Alligator mississippiensis: one gene and its partners. The protein of the gene in region 3 interacts with the protein of the main gene of each other region in a pairwise test. Links are inferred from orthologs where the notes say so. Each region holds a gene or a part of one and is shown on either strand. Other genes may lie near its edges. The genes, in order: FAM204A, ZBTB44 and SMYD1.

Evidence for each region.
Region 1: the proteins of SMYD1 (region 3) and FAM204A interact in binary tests that used the Homo sapiens proteins (3 or more experiments, as listed by UniProt). The link is inferred for Alligator mississippiensis from reciprocal best matches to the Homo sapiens genes SMYD1 and FAM204A.
Region 2: the proteins of SMYD1 (region 3) and ZBTB44 interact in binary tests that used the Homo sapiens proteins (3 or more experiments, as listed by UniProt). The link is inferred for Alligator mississippiensis from reciprocal best matches to the Homo sapiens genes SMYD1 and ZBTB44.

Annotation. Positions count from the first base shown.
Region 1 is NC_081829.1:88,520,530-88,527,486, forward strand, and holds the start of FAM204A (protein FAM204A), read left to right. Parts: upstream 1-3,886; 5' UTR 3,887-3,963; intron 3,964-4,031; exon of another isoform or gene 4,032-4,137; intron 4,138-4,414; exon of another isoform or gene 4,415-4,747; intron 4,748-5,223; 5' UTR 5,224-5,231; coding exon 5,232-5,471; intron 5,472-6,582; coding exon 6,583-6,673; intron 6,674-6,957.
Region 2 is NC_081839.1:25,691,229-25,698,231, reverse strand, and holds the start of ZBTB44 (zinc finger and BTB domain-containing protein 44), read left to right. Parts: upstream 1-3,895; 5' UTR 3,896-3,984; intron 3,985-7,003. UniProt on the Homo sapiens protein: May be involved in transcriptional regulation.
Region 3 is NC_081825.1:14,314,502-14,321,898, reverse strand, and holds the start of SMYD1 (histone-lysine N-methyltransferase SMYD1), read left to right. Parts: upstream 1-4,386; 5' UTR 4,387-4,457; coding exon 4,458-4,594; intron 4,595-7,397. UniProt on the Homo sapiens protein: Methylates histone H3 at 'Lys-4' (H3K4me), seems able to perform both mono-, di-, and trimethylation. Acts as a transcriptional repressor. Essential for cardiomyocyte differentiation and cardiac morphogenesis.

The DNA of each region.
Region 1 (6,957 bases), on a different chromosome or scaffold from region 3:
CCCCAGACTATGTAATGTTGAGCTGGTGATTGGCCTCATGGTTTTTCAGATGGAAGGCATATACTTGTATTTTCTCTGGGTTGGTGTGTAGTTGGTTTTCAATGTAGTATGAGGTTAGGCCAATTTGTGCCTCACTTAGGGATTTTTCAAAGCCAGGTTTTGGTCTGTTATGCACAGGTTGTCTGCATAGATGAAACATTTTGTTTCCAAACCAAATGGCTGATCAGTTGTATAGCTGATATATAACAGTGGGACAAGTACACCTCCTTGAGGGAGGACATTCATCTGTTGCCTCCATCTGCTTCACTTCCCATCCAGTTTGACAAAAAAAAAAGTCTGTTTTTGAGTAGGGTTCATAGCAGCTCTATAAAGTGTAAATCTTTTGTCATTTCCAGGGTAGGGTCTTGTGGAGGAGTCATCTGTGGTTAACCATACTGTAGGTGGCTGTTAGGTTAACGAACATAACTCCAGTGATTTGGCCACTTTCAAAAACATCCTCAATATGTTGAGTTAAATTGAGCAGCTGGCTCGTTCCTGATTTTCCACAATGAAAGCTGCCCTGTTTAGGGATTAGGTGTTTATCCACATATGGAGCAAGCTGGTTCAATATGAGTCGTTCATACAATTTGTATGTGTGGCATAGCATAGACAGGTCTGAAGCAGTTTGAGTCATTCCCTGGCTTTAGAAGTGTCACTCCCTGAGCATGGTGCCATATCTTTGGCATTTTTTGACTGGCTGTGCATAAGTTGTATAGAGAGAGGAGCCATACTCAAGTCTGGTGTCCAAATTGATTGACTTGTTTGGTAAGTACATTGTTAAGGCCAGCTGCTTTCCTGGTCTCCGGTGCATTGATACCAGCATTCAACTCTGTCATTGAGAAGGGGCTTGTAAAACCCAGGTCTTTTGGGTGCTTGTATCTTTCCAGTCTAAGTTTTTTTTTAATTTGTTTTTGGTGTGGGGGCTTTTTCCACTGAGAAGCATCTGGTGAGCAATTTGGTTAGCAGTGACATTATGAAATTCTGCCTTTTGTGGGTCATTGCTCGGTTGACGTATTGTCACCCATGCCTTTTTACCATTAGGACTCATATCAGTTGAAACAATCAGGGTCTGCCAGGATTTCCTGCATTCTTCTGTGATGGCTAACATGAACTCCCTGCCTCTAGCTATGACGTTTGTGGAAAAAGGCTGTAGTTCACACTGTTGCCTGTAGTCTTCATATAGCCCAGTGATTTCTGGAGTGAGGCCTGAGACATAATTCTTGCACTAGCCCCACAGATGTTTTTCCTTGCAGACTTCTGTACAGCTTTTATGAATTGGTCTTAGTCCTCGGGCAATGTTTTGATGGTTTCGACTGTGGCATCTAGGTATTCTGAAAAGCTTTTCCAGTTGCCTTTTTAAAGTCGAAACATTGGCAAAATGGCACTGTTATAGGTGTTACTGAGGCTTTGATCTGAATGTCAATTGGCTGATGCTAGGATGTGGAGTGGAGTCTAATACCGTTTTATTACTTAGCCCAGTGATGGTGTTGCCAGTAAATATAAGGTCTGGGTTGTATCTTCATTTCCAGGGGCCACTGTTGAATGATTTAGGTAGCTTTGGGTCATGAATCAAACTCAGCTGATATGCATCTGACCAAGCTTCTACTACTTTGCTGTCTTTATTGGTCTCATTGTAGCCCCATTGTGGTTTATTCTGAGTGATACCTGGTGTATCTTTAATGGTGAAACTCGTGTTAGGTGGTTTGTAGGCTGAAGTGATTGTAATTCCATTGAGTTCAACGGTCAGGATTTCATTGTTGTTTTCTTCAATCTTTCCCGTAGAAATGATGACTCTTCCAGATTTGGCAAATACGGCACTTCCAAATTTCTTGGGTGGTCTTTCAATTGCCATAGTCATTCCAGGTATTGAAGGACAGTTATTATGAGGCCCTCGGTGTGTCACTTCTAAGCACAAGAGATCACACTGGACTTCCTTACATAGATTTAAATTAGTTCTTTTTTCACGAGTGAAAACCCCTCAGCCCTCTGCGGACAGTATTGTTAAAGCTGGCCCTAAGGAGGGCTCATGTCTACTTTGGTCATAGGGCCAAACTGATTGGTTGTAACTGACTAGTTACATTGGTCAATTTAACCAACCGACTGGTTACTGACTGGTTACATTGGTCAATTTGCAGGGTCCAAATCGTGGTTTGTTGTGTTAGCAGAATTTCCAGGTGTTACCTGACACGTCATATCCATCACATTACCCTCCTGTCTTTGAGTCCCTTTGTTGTGGCACCAATGAAAGCCCTAGCACCCCTCATAGCTATTCATCCCATGGTTTTCTCTACACTAGGGGTAGGCAGCCCCTGGCATGGGTGGCAGAGCATGGCATGCGAAGGCATTTTGCTTGGCATGCGCCCCTCAGGGCAGAAAGCAGGGAAGAGGCTAGGGTTGCACTACCACAAAGATCAGGCCCCTCGCGGCTTCCCTGCTGCCCGCCCCTGGCACACCAATATCTTACAAGTCGAGGTTGCAGGTGTTTTTGGCACTCTACCCAAAAACAGTGCCAGCCCCAGCTCGACACGTAGGGCAGCTTCACCACACTCGCTAAGGCATTGCCCATGCCCTTCTGGGGTCCCCTCCTGCCTGCACCTCCCTGCTCAGCCCTGGGGCTTTAGCCACATGCTTGACAGCGATGCCCAGGCGAGGCCCCCGCCGCCCTGAATGAGGGGCAGCCCCCAAATCCCACCCCTCCCACACACAGCGGTCCCTCCCTCCCTCCTCCCTTCCCCCATCAGGCTACACGGTAGCAATCCCCCCTCGTGAGCGGGGATCCTGGTTTTCTCCGATTAAAAATAAATCCCCAACTTTCGGTTTTTAAAAAAAGTAACCCCAAATCCACATTTTCCATGATTAAATTGAAACTTCACTATATATCTATATATATTTATATCAGCGGTTCCCAGTCTGTGGTGTGGGTACCACCCGTGGTACGCAGACAACCTGTCAGCGGTACACAGTAACAGACTTATTATAATGACTTTACATGACAAAAATGTGCCGGCGGTACTTAAGGTTGTATCGTTTGACATTGGTGGTGCGCCGCCTGTCCGTTTGGGAACCGCTGATCTATGTAGCAGTGGTGTTTCACTTAAATCACGGGAAAATACGGATTTGAGGTCACTTATTTTAAAACGAAAATTGTGGGGGGGGGGTGTTTTTTTAAATCAGAGAAAACCAGGATCCCTGTTTTCGGTTTAAAAAAAAAAAATCCCACATCTACGTTTTCCATGGTTAAAATGAAACGTCAACGATATCTCTGTATATTTGTGGCGTTTCACTTAAATCACGGGGAAATGTGGATTTGGGGTTTGTTTTTTTAACTAAAATTGGGGATTTTTTTTTTTTTTAAATCGGAGAAAACCAGGATCCCTGTTTTCGGTTAAAAAAAAGTAACCCCAAATCTACATCTATCCGTGATTAAAATGAAGCATCACTCTCTAGATAGATGGATCAAATAATCTCTCGATATCTCTATGTATATCTATAGACGCAGCTATCTATATCTATAGATATCCATCTATATAGCTATAGATATATATAGATATAGATGTCTATATCTACATATATAGATGTCTATAGATGTCTATATCTACATAGAGATGTTTATATCTATATATATAGATATAGATGTCTATAGCTATAGACGTTAGTGGCGTTTCACTTAAGCCGTGGGGGGACGTGGATTTGGGGTGACTTCCGTCCCCGAGCACTGGGGACGTTTGCGCCCCGCCCCCACCCCGGCCGCGCTCCCGCGGGATCTGCCGCCCCTACCCACTCCCCCGCCCCCACCAACCCGGAGGCTGGTTGTCATGGCGACCCTAGGCAGCAAAGCGGCTGCTGATTGGCCGAGAGGCGGAGCCCAATAGCGGGCCGCGGTGTTAGTGGAGTGTCAAGATGGCGGCGCGGTAAACACGGCCGGTGAGCGAGGCGCGGCGGTGGCGGCCGGGCTTGGGGCAGGCTGCGGTGGGCGTCAGATGGCTCCTTCTCGGGGCACCGCTGGGAGCAGCCCCCGAGCGTGGGGCGGCCTCTCCCCCTCCTCGTCCTCTGGGAGCCGCGTTTGTCCCGCGGATGCACTCGTGGGAGGGGGGTCAGGTAAAGGCCGGTCCTGGCGCGCGGTGGGGGGCCGCGAGGAGCGGAGAGCTGGTGCGCGGGGTCTCACCCTGCGAGCCCGGAGCTGGAGGGTTGGGGCCGGTCACTGGCCTGTCATTGGCCCCTTCTCCAGGGTCTGCAGACAACAGCGCTGGGATGGTCGGCCGGAGCCGGCAGCACCTGTGTGCCAGTCGTGGCACCATCGAGCTGATTCTTGCCTGGGGTGTATATACATACACTCGCATTTCCCTTTACCACAAAAAAGCACGTCTGTGAGAGAGGGGTGAGGCCCGTCTCGGGTGGGGTCAAGGAGGGTGTTTCCGACATCTTTCTGCTCACGTCTTGCCTTGCCCGGGTGCTGCTTCTCTTTCTCTTTCCTCCCCACCCAGCTCTTTTTCTGAAGACTAGAGCTTAGTTGGAAGGAAGCTTCCTATTCACTTTTCAGGCAGACTCGAAAAGTATCTGGGACATAATCCTGCTCTTGGAGCAAAATCGATTTAAGAGATTTCAGTACTCAAGACTCAGAAGTAGAACGGGATCCGGTCCCGCCGCGACACGATCTATCTTTGCGCGTTGTATTTTTAAGCGAGATGCACGAGGCCGTGTTTTAACAGTGAGTGCGAAAGCCAATGTAGATTTTAAATGCTCGTTTTCCAAATTCGTTTGTATGCATTTTAAACAGAAATCCAGTCCTCGGTATGCTTCAGAATTTGTCTAAAGTGAGCATCTTCCGAACTGTAATGGTTTTGTTCTCTAGCAGCAGACGTTGTCATATTGTTTAAATGAAAAAGTGAGTTGTTTTTGTCTGTCCTGTTTATCCAAAATGGAGTTTTTAAAACGTGCGAGTGTAAGCTGCCCTTGTTTACGAGACTTAAGATGTTCGACGTTAATTCTAAGCTTGCCTAAATCACTTAAAACTCATCTCCTGGAAGTAAGATTACGTTTTCTTCTTGTCAAAAGTGTTTAAATTATTTGTAATGCTGTATTTCATTATTTCTAAATCGCTGTTCTTCAGCAGACTAGCTGTATTTTTAGCTGCAGATTCTAGGTAAATTCACATGATGTTTTTGGTGTCTTGCTCTTGCTTAGACTAGAAGATGTGGAGTGGGCTTTTACCACCAGGTGTGAATGAAAGTGATGTTGACTTGAGCTCTGATGATGGAGATGCAGCAGATGGTCCTGCATCGTGCACAAAGGATGATAGAGAAGAGGCTGTCAAGGGAATTCAATTGTCTGATTTCCAGATAGATGGACCTGAAAGTACTTCTGTATCAGTGACAGATGGAGAAAATACATGTCAACCATGCCCTTCTGGAATTTCTTTAAATATGTGGAATGTGGGTATGATTAGATATTTCTAAATGTCCAAAATATAAGTGTAACGTACTTCAGTGTTGCATAGATAATATTTATTCAGTATGACATTTTATAAATATTTTTGTAAGAATTGAATGAAAATATTTGAATTCAGATATTTTATAGTGAATGTGTGTAGGACAAATACAAAGCAGTTTGAATAAAATGTAATCTGTGACCTACTAGAAACAAGTTCAAGGATCTGTTCTGAGGGACTTTGAGGCAGGTATTTTAACCCTTTTTTTTTTCTTTGCTTTCTTAACTGATTGGTAAATTGAAGGGTAGAGGAGAGAAATGATGTAGGCATAACAGATTCATTAGTTTTCTGTTTGCTTTGGAATCTGGGCACCTGAAATACTTTTTCAACTGTATTTTCTTTTTTAAGACTAGCAGTTAAGCATATGTCCAATCTGCATAATAGGTCAGACCTATTTAGCAAAAATTGTGTATCCATAAATTCCATTTTAAACTCTGCCATTCTCTATCAAAATGTAATTGGATTACAAAACCTTTTTTGTGATTTGTGCATCAGAGAAGACTGAGTATATCATGCTAATGAGCTCTGACCAGTCTACACTGATGCCTAACAATGGGGTTAGAATTCTGCATAAGGATTGGTAAAAACAAGTGTGTATCTATAGGTCCATATCTATAGGTATCAGTCCATATCTATAGGTAATCATACAAGGTGTTTGCTGCCAATCATCTGTGGATGACAAAGCACTAGCTAAACTGAATATTAGAAGACTGTGTATTGCTCAGTGTTATACCTTTGATATATTTAATGTTGGTTGTGCATTTTATGAAAAAAAAACTTTTGAGAATGTTCTGAAGAACTGGGGGGATTATGGTAAAGGCACTAGGAGGTTATAGAGATTATGCAGGGATGAAGATCAGAGTTAGTTGTGTGTAACATTTGCCACTCAATACCAGCAGAGAACTGACTGTCACAGTATATAAAGGGTCCCCATAATAGTGAGATTTTAAAAAATAAAATGAGAATTTGAGTAACATTTTCAAATACTTTTTGCTTCACTAAAAAAACAAAACAACCAACAAATATTTGGAGTTTGCTTTTCCTTCTTCCCACAGAAATTTCTGGAGCTGCAGAAGAAAAAATGTGAAATGAAAGCCCAAGCAAATGAGAGAAAGAAGGGGAAAAAAAGAAAACGTTCCAGAAAAGGTGTTTTGGGAGAGTTAATATAAAAGCATTTCGGTTTGATAAAGCCAGTTGAAAATATTGTATTCTTTCAGTAGTTGTAAGACAGCTAAAGGACAACATTCATGACACTTACTGTGTCAATGACGATGCAGGGTTTTTTTGACTGAATTGTGAGAACTGGGCACTGAAGGAAGAGATTGGCCTGTGTTATGGGATAGGGGATGGGGAGTGGCTACTAAGTTGTACACCATTAGCTGCTGGGGTCTAACAGTTACATTTATATGATCCTGTAGTGATACAAATTA
Region 2 (7,003 bases), on a different chromosome or scaffold from region 3:
AGACAGAAGCACTCTGATACAATTAATATCAATGCCCTTGGGATAACCTGGAGGTACCATTGCTTCTCACTGTGAAATGACCAGTTCAACAGAAAAAGCCCAGAGTAAATAAAGATGACCTTGTATCATAAGAAAAAAGAAGCCAAATTATCGGCTGGAATAAATTTGATACAGCTGCTGCATTGATTTACAAGTATCCTGCTAACAATTTGGCTTATGGAGCTCCTGTTGGAATCTTTTCTGAAGGGGTTGAGGCCTGATGAATACTTTTTAGTAAAAGCAGTCCTCTTCTGCCAGAGTGGGAAGACTCTCCTGTTAGTCAAGAGCCATCTCTTATAAACCTAAAGGATGCAAATGTGACAACTATATGCAATACAGCTATATTTACATGCCATTGATGGGCCAGGCGACAAGTGTCCCTTCCCAATGCTGTATAGTGCCCAGAGAGCTCTGCATAGTGAAACAAAACTCATTAGCAAATTCCAGCTCTGTCTCTCTGAAACCAAAATGATCTGTTGCTGATTAAAAATTCAGCAAGACACACCAACAGTTCAGCCAGGTGTTCTGGATCAGGGGCACCATTACAGGGGTTTTTTTTAAGAATAAGAAATTAAATAAGGTACAAAAGAGATCCTTCTTGCTGGGGGTCTGATTCAAAGCTCTTTAAGGCTATAGGAGACTTTCTATTGACTTCAGTAGTGGTTGGGCCAAGCGGTGAGCAAGATACTGCAGAATGAGGCATGTGGCATGAGAAGGAGGGAAGGCAAGTCAGAACTGCTGACCAGCCCCAGATGGACATTTGGCAGACTTGGCTGCCGCTGAAAGAGGGACATGTGAATGACTGCATGGAATGGTCCTGTCCCAGTATGACCGTGTGATAAATACCAAGCAGCTGCGTCATGCTGCTAAAACCTATGTAACTTGGCATCTGCACACATGCTAAGATAATGACTTCACTTTGCTTCAGTCCTACACAGCTGTCAAAGTCTGAGCAAATGAATCAGTCAGGGCTGGGAAAACAGAGCTGGAAATAGGATTTAAGCAACCCAGAAGAAGGAGGCCATGCAACTAGCAGAGCCTGCTGCACTACAACAGGTCAACAGGCCATTCTCATTGACTCGGTGGCAGTTGAGTAACCATCGCAGTCGGCTGAGTTAATCCGGCTGCTGGGTATGTACGCACAAAATCAGCCTGCTAACAAACCATGTGGTATTTGCTGTGGAAGGCAGAAGTGCCTCCTCATGGAAAGCTGAGTTCCTAATTCTGCAAATGCTTGCCCCAGCCCCTCCACGCTTGACTCCAATGGGGTTTCTCTATTGGGCATTTTCATAATTCACATGCAAAAAAATATATATCTGGATGTTAGGCCAGACCTCATTCAATGGAAATATGATGGCTTGCGCCAGCTGAGGTCCTGGGCCATGATCGCTGTCCATTCCCATGTCTTCATGCCTCCAGTGATGCATGGCTTTACCCACGACCTCCCAAACCATGCGATAAACAAGCTAGGGGTTGTTCTTTACACACTTGTACAAGGAAGAATGTGTTGCATCCCACAACCAAACTGCCTTCTTCTGGCTGACTGAGTCTTTGGCAGCATAAATCTAATTCCCTTTACACTTCCCCTGGTTTTATACTTATATAAGTCCAGGGACATCAGTAAAGTGACCCCCCCATCACAGTTCCTGGTTTGACTGAACTTGTGACCTCTTCCTACTGTCATCCTGGAGTGCCACCCTCCCTTCTCTGGTTTCATGCTTCAAGCTATCACCCGTCTCAATGCGATTCTGCCCCTTTCAGTGAAATCTCAACTACAGTCCTCAGGTACTGGCTGTGATTATCTCAGCAGGGCTGATTTAGGATTAGGACCTGCAGCTTTGGTCCTTCCAGAAACTAGGACAGCATAACAAGTCACCAGGCAGACAGTCCTCTGATTGCAAACTGGTATTTATTTAAAACAAAAGCATTTAAAAGGAAACGGATCTTAGGCAGTGAACAGTCTACACATTTGTCTGTCTTTGCTGATGGTTTCCCATTCCCTGGAAGTGCTCAATTGCTTCCAGACACTCCCAGTGGACCCAGTCTCACCTCCATCCCAGTCTGTTCTCAGCAGAAAGAACAAGCTCTCCTCCCATCTCCTCTCACCCTTCCTTTGATCTCTAACACCCACTGCTGCCCAAACAGGCTTGCATTTTTATTGGCAACAGCATACAAGATCCACGGAGCAGGGAGGGGAGCTTTTCTTGCCGCCTTTCAAGTGTGAGCCGAGATGTGTTTAGCTGGGAGCTGTTATGTTGCCTTCCTGCTTGTTCTTCCAACAGCCCATTTCTAAGCTAGATCAATACATCCAGACAGGGAAGCCTAGTAAGCCAACGTATCCACTGGGTTACTGCCTCACTGACCTGGGTGCATTCATAAAACCATCACAGATCAGTGGTCTTTGATTAGTACACACAGCTCTGTGTCTGCCACACCGCTGATTTACAAAGCTATGGGTGAGAGGAAGGTCAGGCTCAAAGGGGGTTCGCGGTCAACAGAGCAATCCCACTGTACTATGTGCTAAAATGAAGTGGACATGCCATTTACGCCTTATGCTAGTGCAAGGCGCTCCTAGGGTTGCCAGCTGTTTGAATCTATTCCGGGAGGTTTCGGGACTGCCAACATGCCTGTGACACGCGACACGAACATGCCCACGGAGCTGCAAACATCAGTTACGGATTACAGCGTGTAGACATTATATCGGGAAGGCAAATGCACGTTGCTGTTATATTTTAAAAACCCACTGAACGACTGTATAAATCGGATTCAACATTTAATATTTATTTTAATGAATGCCCTATCGTTTATTTCCCAAGTGACACTCAGCAGTTTCTTGGAGATTTAGATCTAATTCGTGCAGACTCCAGGGCAATGATGGAGGGCTGGCAACGAAGTTAGACATCAGGGTAGGGAGTGTGTTCGCTCCCCAGCCAAACTCATCTCTGCAGCTCCTTGCTCAGTGCAACCGGCATCTCCGGCCGCCTGGAGCGTAGGGCCGATCACAGCGCTCGCTGACGGCAGCTACCTCGGGAGATCTGGTTGTGCCAGCTCCTTCTTGCACAATCAATTTACTGTGATGGAGCAAAACCTAGTGTAAAGGACTCCACAGGAATCACGTTGTGCGTCCGTGCCCGACACGTGGGGAAGGCCTGCAGCTGCAGCGTTACCCAACTTTGTCACTTTACACAGCCTGACACGCCGGCCCCGCTAGGCAGGTGCAGCGGCACCACCGGGTACAACCCTGCGGCTGGGGGCAACTGCTCCGGCAGGAGTCCTGCACCTGCCCCCAGTGCTGCTGCAATCCCTGCCCTCTGCCCCCTCCACTGCTCTGCTATCTGCTCCCGCCCCATCCGCCGCTCTGCTTTCTGCCCCCTACCCCATCTGGTGCTCTGCTTTCTGCTCCCGCTCAGTCTGCTGCTCTGCTGTCTGCCCCCTGCCCCATCCTTTATTCTGCTATATGCTCCTGCCCATTCTCCTGCTCTGCTATCTGCCCCTGCCCCACCCTCTGCTCCGCTATCTACCCCAGAGCCCCGCCCTGCCAGGCCGGGCCGGGGGCACCCGCGCGTCTCTCGCGCCCGGGGTCCGGGGCAACACCGCCCCCGGTGACGTCAGACGCCCCGCCCCCACGCCGAGCCCCACTCGCTCTCCCCGCGCCGGGCACTCAGCGCGGCACGGTCCGGCCGCGGCCGCGCGTCTGCGCATGCGCCTGCCCCGGGCCGCCCGGCGCCAGCTCCCAGTGCGCCTGCGGGCGGCGCGGCCCCTCCCCCCCCCCCCGCCCGGCCGCGCTGCATTGTGGGACACAAACAAAGTGCCCGGCCAGGCCGGAGAGCGCAGCGCGACGCCTCGGCCTCGCCGCCCCGGCCAACCCCCCGCCGCCATGGCCCGGCCGCCGCCGCCGCTGCCTCCGCGCGGGGCCAGATAGGGGCTCGGCCCCACCCACCGCAGGTAACGGCGACCTCAAGGGGGCGGGGGAGGCTCGGGGCCGCTGTCGTGTCCCCCCCCGTCCCCCCGGGCCCGGAGCGCTCCTCGGGTGCCCCGCCCCCCCCCGGCCCTGCCCCCCCCCCCCCCGGTCCGGCCTCAGCGCCTCGCGCCCCGCGCCCGTCCCGCCCGACTAGGCCGGGCCGCGGCCGCGTGCCGCCGGGGTGGGCCGAGACAGTGGGTGAATCAAAAAGCGGCGTGAAGACGGTGCCCGTGAAGCGGGGTGCGCGCAGCGCCCTTTTGTTTGGCTCCAAAAGCATTGATAAAGGCGTGCTGCCTTAGGACTGAAACAGCAAACCCAGCTCGACCTGAGGAATAAAGGGGCAGCGCCAAAAACGTTACTGTGAAACCAAAGTGTCTGGTCTGGGGCAGCGAAAAAAAGAAATGGAGGATAAATGGGAGCTCCTTCTGACGGGGGGAGCCCCATTTTCCCTCGCTTCGTGCGGGTTTTGTAGGTGCGAATTCGCTATTATGCGATGGCCCTTTTTATACCAAAAATGTGTTATGCATGAGGTAAACTCGCTCTCCTGCGATCGGCGCGGCGGGAGCCCGCAGGCGGCTGCTTTGCGCGGTGCGTTGAGCTAGTGACGCGCGCCAAAACGCAGGCTCGTGCGCGGGTCTGTGTTCCTCGCCGGTTGTCTGCAACACACGTTTCCGTAGTTGCCGTCCCCGTTACGATAGCGCCCTGTGCTTGTGCGCGCTGTCTGCTGTTGGTGGGTACTGAAATGGTCTTGTGGAAGCGGTAGAAATGGGCCTGGGGGTCGGTACAGTCGAGGTCTTGGGAGGTATCTCTGTTTGTCTCTCTGTGAAATGGGCTCCCTTCTTGCGGGTTCGAGTTATGCGCCGTTTTCCAGGAACGCGTGTGCAACGTGAAGCGAGGTCCGCAGGTCGGGGGATGTGAAACTCGGGGGACTCGAGCGGGTTTGATTTCATAAAGGTGCCGTGATTATCCGTTAATTTTAAAATAATGATTACTTTGGGGCAGTTTCAAGCGTCGGTCTCTGCCAAATCTTCTTTTCAAGCCATCTTGTGTAGGTCTTTCATTTTCTTTTGAAGCACTACAGTTCCCAAGCTCTCTCAAGAGCTGGTCAGGTGTGAAGAGTTGTTGATCAGGGCTCATGGACAGAAGTGATATCTTTTATTAGACCAGCAAGATATTTGGAAAAAATTAAAGACTTTTTTTTTTTTTGCAAATATCTTGCTGGTCTAATAAAAGAGATCATCTCTGTCCGTGAGCCCTGATTTGCTTTTTCCTCTAGACCAATATAGCTACAACCTGGATATTGGACACATGGAAGAGTTGTTGATGGTATCCATTATTGGCACCATGTGTTAGATTCGTGTTCTGTTTCCTACTGTGCTAAGTGGTGACATTGTGTTTGCAGCACCCATCGCCCCAATAGCGGGGTTTAAAGTGAGACAGACAGTAGCATTTTCCTTTTGTTAATAGCCAGTTTCTCTGCAGCACCTCTATGCTTCCTTGTTTTAACAGACAAGTATGGAAGAAGTTACCAGTAGTAAGGAAGGGGAAGTACCAGCCAGTAGTCAGCTAAACAAACCAACACCTTGTGACCATATGGTCTGCGTGTACTTGCTGTGTGTGTGAGACATGAATTTTTATTGATGCACCCTTAACTTGCTAGTTATTAAAGAATCATCCCTGTTCAAGTTTTGCAGCCTCTGCAGACAGCCACAATTTGGGGATTCTGAATCCTTCAGTGCCTTAAGTGCTTAAAAACTTCTGACTGAAAGGACTTATTTAAAGTAACATAGACATGAGGAGAGTACAGGACTTAAAAGTTGTCTTATTTATGGGCAGCAACTTCACAAAACATTATTTTCAGAGATAATACTCTTTAAAAATCACTTATATCTAAGAGTGCAGAAGTTAGGTGGTGGCTGTCTTACTTGTGCACTTACATTATTGAAATGGCAAGTACTAAATTGCTAATCTGCTGAATATCTGGCAAAACTGAAAGCACTGGAAAAAAGTGAAGATTCCCTGCCCAACCTGTAAATGAAAGACGGCCTTGTGTAGATCTGTTTAAATAGCTCGTGCCCTTATTTCAAACTCCTCAGTAGTCCATGTGTTAACTTGCCTGCTTAGTAGCAAAATTGATACTGCTAGTGATGTCATCGGACAAAAACAAGCACTGAAGCATTGCTGTGTAAACTGTTTTTTGACAGTCCACAGAGTCAAATGCATAAAAATCAACACAGCTTCACTGTTACCTGTATAGAGCTGGGGAGAGGGAGGAAATGAGGGGTCTAAAGCTTTGACAGCAATTCTTCTAGCTTCCATCTCTAACCAAGTTATGGAGGAAGCAACTTAAGCTATACATTGTTTGCAGGCAGCCTCTTTATAGTAAATATTAGATACTTTAATGTAAATCACAAGTTTTAACCAATTTAAAGAGTTAGAGAAACCAAAGTTTCTGCCAGGGACTGGTTTGTTAAGTATTACTGTTGTTCACAGAACGCTATTTTCTTTGGTTCCAAAAGAATTAGTTAAGGCATGTTCCTCAAAGCACAAACTTTCTATTAAATAGATATTTGTTTTTTCTGATGTACCTGTCTGCATTGTTAGTATAACTAAATGTAGTATACACTAGCTTGCATATAAGAAGTGTTACTCCTACATTCATCTATAATAAGCAGTTTTACTGGGCAGTTTGAAAGTATTCTTGAATATCTACAGGCTGCTAAGATTGGTTGAAGATGGCTCTTCTGAACTAGACGACATATTATTGTGTGGATTGTAGATCTGCATATTTTATATATAAAATATTTTAAGCAGCTTTCCTGTAAATCAAATGGGGTTTTGCCAGGAATAAGTCTCTTGGGGAATATTTTTGGTAGCATTTACAGGTAATATACCACTAGGGAACTGGAGGACTCTTCAGATTGTTATGGACTTCATAGAAGCTTTCTTCTTCCAAGCTGAAGTCTTGAGGCCAGCCCATGTCGGTAATGGGAAAGAGCTGTT
Region 3 (7,397 bases):
CCTGGAGTTCCCTCACCTGTCCCTCCAGAGACTCAATCTGGGCACATGTAGGACAGGCAAGGGAACCCCCAGCCCCCATGCTACCCCCAGGCCTCAGAGGTCCCGCCAGGCAACACCCGCAGACAAGGGGCCAGGGCACTGCTGACCCATCCAAGGGGCCTGTCTGGGTGGAGGCCCCACAGGAGCTCCGGGCTGGAGGCAGCAGCAGGGCAGAGGCCCTGGCTGCGCTACGTGTCACTACCCCCATAGTAGCCCTTCTCCTCATTCACTTACCTGAAGTCCCTGTCTGAAGCTCCCGTGTACTCCTGCCCATGACTGGCCTGAGAGCTGCCTGCAAACTGCTCCCCTTTGGCAGTCCCTGTTCACTGGCTCCCTGGTCACAGGCTCTCTGGTCACCTGGGGGGTCTCCTTTTATACCCTTCTGGGCCTGGGCTCACTCAGGCCGAGGCAGCAATCACACAGTCAGCAATCCCACAGCAATCAACAGTCACTTAGCACTCAGCGCTCACTTCCAGCTTCTCAGAGCACACACCTGCCAAACAAACAGACAGCCAGCTAAACCAAAGGTACAGGCAGCTGGATCACTTACCTTTTCTGGGTAGGATCTAGTGCCTGGCCTGGCTTCTCTCCCCCTCCCTCCCTCCCTCCTCTTGCCTCCAACAACTGCCTGCAAACTGCTCCCCTGTTGGCAGTTGCTGTTTGCTGGCTCCCTCATCACAGCTGGTTTTTTAACATGTAATGTTAAAAGAAAAGGTATCAAACTGCAAGGAAGTTACTAATGGACTTCTTGAAGGATCAACCTCTGGAACAATCTTGTTTAACATTTTCATTAACAGCCTTGACACTGTAGCAGGTCCAGTGCTGGGGGAGCAAAATCACCTCTCTGGGTATCTGCCTAAACTTTACTTGCCCCCTCTGACCTCTCAGGGTCCCACCCTGTTATCTTTCCTTCCATACCTTTATGTTATGATTGGACAGGGAGGGTGCCCCTAAGGTAGGGGAGTTGTGAGTGTTAGGCCCTTGTTTGGGCTGAGGCCCCCTGGCCTGGGTCCACTTTACTCTGGCTGGGCCCCTCCACCTGAGGTCCACTGTCTCAGGACTGTAGGCTCCTGGGCCCCAGCTCCAGCCACACCCTTGTAGGCTCTGGGCCTTTTGGCCCCTGGTCTCACCCTTGTGGGCTCTGGGCCCCTCAGCCCCTGGTCTTGCCCTCATGGGCTAAGGCTTGCACCCCCAATCCTTCCACTAACAGCAGCACTAGACCCTTTGAAGGGTCTAGGACCTGGTGTGTCCTTGGCACCATTCTCGGTGGCCTCCTCCACCCCTATAGCCACAATCTGGTCTTCCAGTATTTAAACACAAATGAAAAGATATGAGCATTTGCTCTCAAACAAAAGGTTCCCCATCCTGGATTAACACCACACTGTGGGAAAACCACCATGCCGGGCCCCAAAATACTTATCTTTGGCTGCCAGGTGTTGCAGGGGCTTCCTGCAGCATCCCTGCAGCCTGAAGTCCTTCCTCCTTGTCCGGTCAGGCCCTAGTCCTCCCTGGAGCTCTGCTTCCTACAGCCTGTGGGGCCAGACTGCCCAACTTGCTTCAGGTCCTGGGCTTTTATCTCTCTCTCTGGGGTACTTGAGCCACTACTTCCACCCCAGGCTTGTCAGTCACTGGCTGCACCTGAGGCAGGCAGGCATTTTATTCAAGGGCCTTCTGCCACCATCAGTTTGTCCAGGAGGCTGGAGTTGGCCAGCTGATCCTCAGCTCCCTCTCTCCTTCAGTAATGGGGTAGGAGTCCCATTGCACACACAAAATTGAGGAGTATGCTGACGGCAAAAGGTTAAAAGTATCATTCATATAGAGGTATATCTCATATCAAATCAAAACATGAAGCACTGAACTGCTATTGACTCATCTGTTTCTAACTGGTGTCCACTCTTCAACTGATGCACTTGCATTCATAGGAGTTGAGCATGAATATCAAGACAGATGTGATCAGCTTCAGCTTCTTGACTGGAAGGGATTCTTGTCTTTTGCCATTGCAGGGCTACTTCTTCGCACTCATAAGTTGGTGTGGTAGGGCACCAAGAGACAAAAGATATTGTAACAAATCCAAAGCCTTGGACTGCAGTTTCCCCTCTTCTGCACAGCGTGACTGCTCAGATGTTTGGATGGCAGCAGTACAACTCAGATCCTCTGCTTCAAAATCACAGACCCCCCCCAGTAGTGTTTAGCAATAAAGGTAGGTGTCTGGTTGGCTGGATAGCAATCAGAGCACTATTACAGATCACATGTGTGCTATGATTAGCCTGAATTTGCTTATGTTTCTGGAAGTAACTAGTTCATGCTTATCAGGCTCAGAACAACCTCGGAGTAGGTATTTATATTACTATGTGATTCCTATCGTTACTTCAGCTATTTTCACTAAAGAAGAATCTCCATTAACTCTTGGCTGCATATAAAGTCTAAGATGCAGAGTTGAGCAGTTTGGAAACTGTCCAAAAGATAGCAGTGGCACTCACGTATGCATGTGTACACACACACACATACACACCCCCCAGCACAGACAGATCTAGGAGGGTGCAGTGGTGCAGTTGCATTATCTCCTCTTCCCTCTCTTCCTGTCCCCACTTTGATTCCTGCTCCACCCAACTTTTAAACCAACTGCCTGGGTGGAGTAGCAGCATTTCTATTCAGGCAGCACTGAAGGAGTCCATTGACTTCTTGGCCCATTATCATTTCCCTGATTCCTGCTACTCTCTCTCCACTCCACGGTGTGTCAATGACTCTCTCTTTTTTTTAATGGTCCTTAATATTAACTTAAGTGTAGACATGGCTGATAGTGAAGTACTGGGAGCACTACTCAGATGCTCAAGATTTTGTTTTATGAATCTGACTAAGAGACATACATTTAAGTAGAATGACTACAGGACTAATGGCACAATATCTTTTGACTTATTTTAACTATTTTTGCCTAATTTGTTGTGTTTTTTTAAAAAACTGTGTATATAATCTATCAAATTAGCACACACTCCAATAATTGTATTTGTTTTTGCTTTGATCTTAAACTAAATCTTATAGTGCTAGCCCCCTAGCATACTAATAAAGCATCTAGGTTCTCTTTACTTGGAGAAAGATATGTGTTCTTTGATGCACCACATGAAAATCCTAGATCCATTTGTGTACACCAGCCTATTACATACTGCTCAAGGTAGATGCCACTCATCCTCCAACTCAGGCAACTTTGGGTGGGCTGACAGGTATTAACCAATTCATCTCTCGATCCCTCAGTTTACCCATCTGTTATGCAGACATAGCCCTTACTTCTCTCACAGAGGGACAGAGAGTCTACATACGTTCATGTGCGCAAGGCACTCTGAATTCCCAGTGATAGATGTGGTAAAATTACTGGGACCTTAGACATACAAAGTATTAATAAATAATACTGAAATACCAAATACCAATGCTGACTGGTTTGTTTTCACAGCAAGACTCTTCTTTCTGTTAACATCAGCAGAAATCTGGAGGGATCCCAGTGACTTCAGTGGTGTTATTTTGGTTTTACACTGATGGGTGCGGGTGAAGGGTAGAAACAATGTCCTATTTTATAAATCATTTGAGCTTGCTGGGGATATTATCCTCTTTTTACCTGCTTTGGGTCCAGTCCATCCTTTGAATTCCATGGAGTTGCATCGGGGATAAACACAGCCCTCAAGCTTGCTAGCATTTCAATGAGTTTAGTCTGTTGAACTCCTGACAGACAGCTAATATGTCATGCCTGCTTCTAAAGAGGCGCCTTCCAGCTCATTCCCTGCACTTCTCCAAGTCACTCAGTTGGCATGTGGCAAGCATCTCTCTTTTGTGCCTGTTTTCTGCAGCAGCAGATGGGGTAATTTTAGCCTGCATGTTTGACAGACCTTCCTCACCCTTGCCTCCAGCATATCTCCTGGAGGGTAAAAATAAAGCAGCATTGTTTGATTTCTGGAAGAACCTAAATGACAGTGGAAAGAACCCCAGACACACAACCCACCCACCACTTACGGCTGTCTCAGCTGTTGGCTCCTGATAGACAGAAGCATGTGGTTTCTAAAAATACCCTGTTAAAGTGAATGCATTCTCTTTCCAATGGGAGAGAATAAATTAAACTTGGTGGTCATAACATATACAAAAGCTTTCAAATGGCAGAAACAATGCCAATGAGTTTTTCAGATGGGCTTTTCCTAATGAAGCTGATGGCACTGGTAATGCATGACCAATCATTTGGCTTCTGTGCTTAGCACTGCATTAAGCTAAAGGGTTTCTCCCCCTCCCCTCCCTTCACCCTCCTATGGAAAATGGGTGGGGGGAGGAGGCAACGTAGTCCATATATAGGACTGGTCCTGGGTCAGGCTGAAGGTGTTGAAATAGCAGGAGTGACAAGAGAGTTGGCTCACTCGCATTAGGAGCTGGGGTTCCCTGACATGACAAAAGGGGGAATGGAGACGGTGGAAGTGTTCACGTCGGAAGACAAAGGCAGGGGTTTGAAGGCAGTCAAAGAATTCCTGTCTGGGGAAGTCATATTTGCGGAGCCTGCTTATGCGGCGGTGGTTTTTGATAGGTAAGAGAAAAGTTATTGTAAAGTAAATGCCAAAGCCTGCTCCTTGCAAAAGTCTGATGTGGCTGCAGCTGGTGTTAACTTGATAGAGTCTGGATAGCATCAGTGAAGGCTGAGAATCTGAGTAGTAACACTTCCTCGTGAGTCATTTGCAGCTTGCCACAACGCTCCTCTCATTAGGACAGAGTGATCATCCCGCTTGTGTGCCTTAAATACACTGTGACCTGCTACATGGACCTGAGCTTACAAAGTGCTCTCAGCTTCCTTCATTGTAGTTGGAGCTGAATTAGTTCAATGGACTGCAATATGAGCGATGCAAGTGCTGTTACAACGAGTCCCTGAGTTCGCTGTAAAAGATCCCACAAGGTGCTGCATGGTAGAGATACAGTATGTCATTGTGCTTTAATTGTGCATATGCCCCCTTAATATATACACAGAGAGAGAGGGCACTAATGCTTAAAGTCAAGAGGTCCTTAACATATTCATGTTACTGGCAGTTTATCAAAACTTGATCTTGCCTAGGTCTCTTTAGTCAATCTTTCACTCGGTGCCTCTTTAAAGACATCACCTGCTTCAAGGCAAATGGTTCGAGACAGAGAACTTGGGAATGTTTTTGTTACTGCTAAAATGGTTTTATGCTCATGCCTGAATGAATGAAGGGAAGCTGCTGTATGACAGTTATCTTTGTAAGCAGATATTAGCTTTTTTGGCTTTTGTTTAAAGTAACCAGCAAGTGAATCCTCATGTAAATGCATGTTTAGTTATGTTATTTGTCTCAAGCTCTTTATTTTTCTATAAAAAATTGGTGGATCAATTTTCTTCACAGATGTAGGCTTTGAGTACCTAATTCCGCCCTTGAGGTCAGTGGGTTCTGCCCAAATAACCTAAAAGCTTCTACACAGCAGGCCATATTCATATTATGTTAATGTGGGAAATCCAGAATAACTTCATTGACCTCAGTGGAATTACTCTACATTTATACGTGAATAATTGAGCACAGAATGTGGCCCAAACATCATAAAGGAGCAACTAACCTTCATGTGCATTGCTTTCGTTCTGTACTTCATAACGGTCTAAACATTTCTCAAAGCACCTTGTAAATGAATCCTGGGGTTGAATTCTGCTGAAAACCTCCAGTGACTTTCGAATAATGTTCTGTATGTGAAATAAGGCAGGACGTTACTTACCTACTAAAGCTTTCTTTGAAAAACATTTCTTTTAAGGAGCTCTAGGGTGGTATCAGACATTCTTTAGTTTTAACTGTCACCATGTAGTGCTTTGCTCGATCGCCCACAATTCAGTGAGCTTGTTTACTAATGCTATGTCATCAGGCAATATCAGAGAATTAATGCTGAATGAAAAAAAGAAGAAAATAAATGTGTGGACTTAGTTACGCTTGTATCTTTTCACTCGTTTTTTCTCTGTCGCTGTAATATCAGTGGGGGTACAGGAGTAAGAACCTAGGATAGTGGTAACAGAGATGTGGTCTTTATTTGCATTTTAATACGTCATTGTAAGAACTGCTCTTGGAAAAGGTGACTGCCACCACCATATAACCTGGACTTGAGTTATGCCTGTGTACCACTTCAGTTAGTCATGCTATGTCAATCCCTGAAATAGATTCAATTGACTGATGGACAGCCAAATCCTGCTCAGAGTGGGCGAGATTCTAGTGCTCATCTTTATATTAGCACCAATGCTAATTTATTGTTGAAATCAATCAGAGTCTTTCCATTACCTTCAATAGGCTTTGCATTGGGCCTTCATTTGACCCGAGGTTGCATTGGAAGCATTGGTTGGGCCAGTGGAACAGGTACTAGTTAACATGAGTAGGGGATGGCAAAATTCAATCCAATCTGCTAACTTGACTTCCATGGAAGTAGGACCAGAACTGATGATTACTGATTTATTCTTAAGCATTGTCTATGATACTGGTAATTATTCCATCCAACCTGAACTAGGCTGAGTCCCAAGGAGCCTGATTATGAACTAGGACTTTTATGAGCAGTTGGTGAATTAAAATGACTCTTAAAGAACACCCAAGTCCAGGAGGAGACAGCAGTGGATTATACACAATGCTCGGACAAGTTCTGTAAAATAAAATGGTTTGATTCATTACTTTCTCTTTAAATGACACTCCACATTGCGGCTAGTGTGAAATAAGGCAACTCCTTCAGGGCCTCATCTACAGATAGCTCATACACCCTTCGTGGGAGCCAGTTATGCTCATGCTAGAGGTCTGGCTTTTCTTCACTTGGGCATTGTCTACATGTACAAATGATGCGGGATGGGTTTACTTCAAAGTACTGTGGAGTAAACCTACCCCAGGCAGGCGTCTACACATGCTGGGATGTGGGAGCAGATTTGCTGCTTGTGGCAGCAGCCTGCACCCACCCCCTCCAGCCCTGCACCAGCCCCCTGCAGCAGTCAGGGGGAGTTCTAGGCTCACCCTGGGTGCTAGCCCTGGAGCTAGTAGGGGGCATGGGGCCAGGAGACAGCTGTCTCCTGGTGGGGACTGGGAGATTGCTCCCTGCCCCCTAGAGCTACCTGCTGCGAGGATGGGCTCTGCCACGGGAGCCTGGGTGCGGACAATGTCCCTCTGCCCTGGCTGCAGGGAGCTCCTGGCCCCGGCTCTCTAACTGGGGGCAGGGGGCTTGGAAAGAGCTGCAGAGAATCCACGCCCAGCCAGGGGCTCACTGCTATCTGTCCCACCAGCGGATCAGAGCAGAGGTCTAGGACCTGCCCCCCCAGCTTTTTCTAAGCCCTGCACCTCAATCACTCATTCAGGGCACGGGGCTGGGACGTG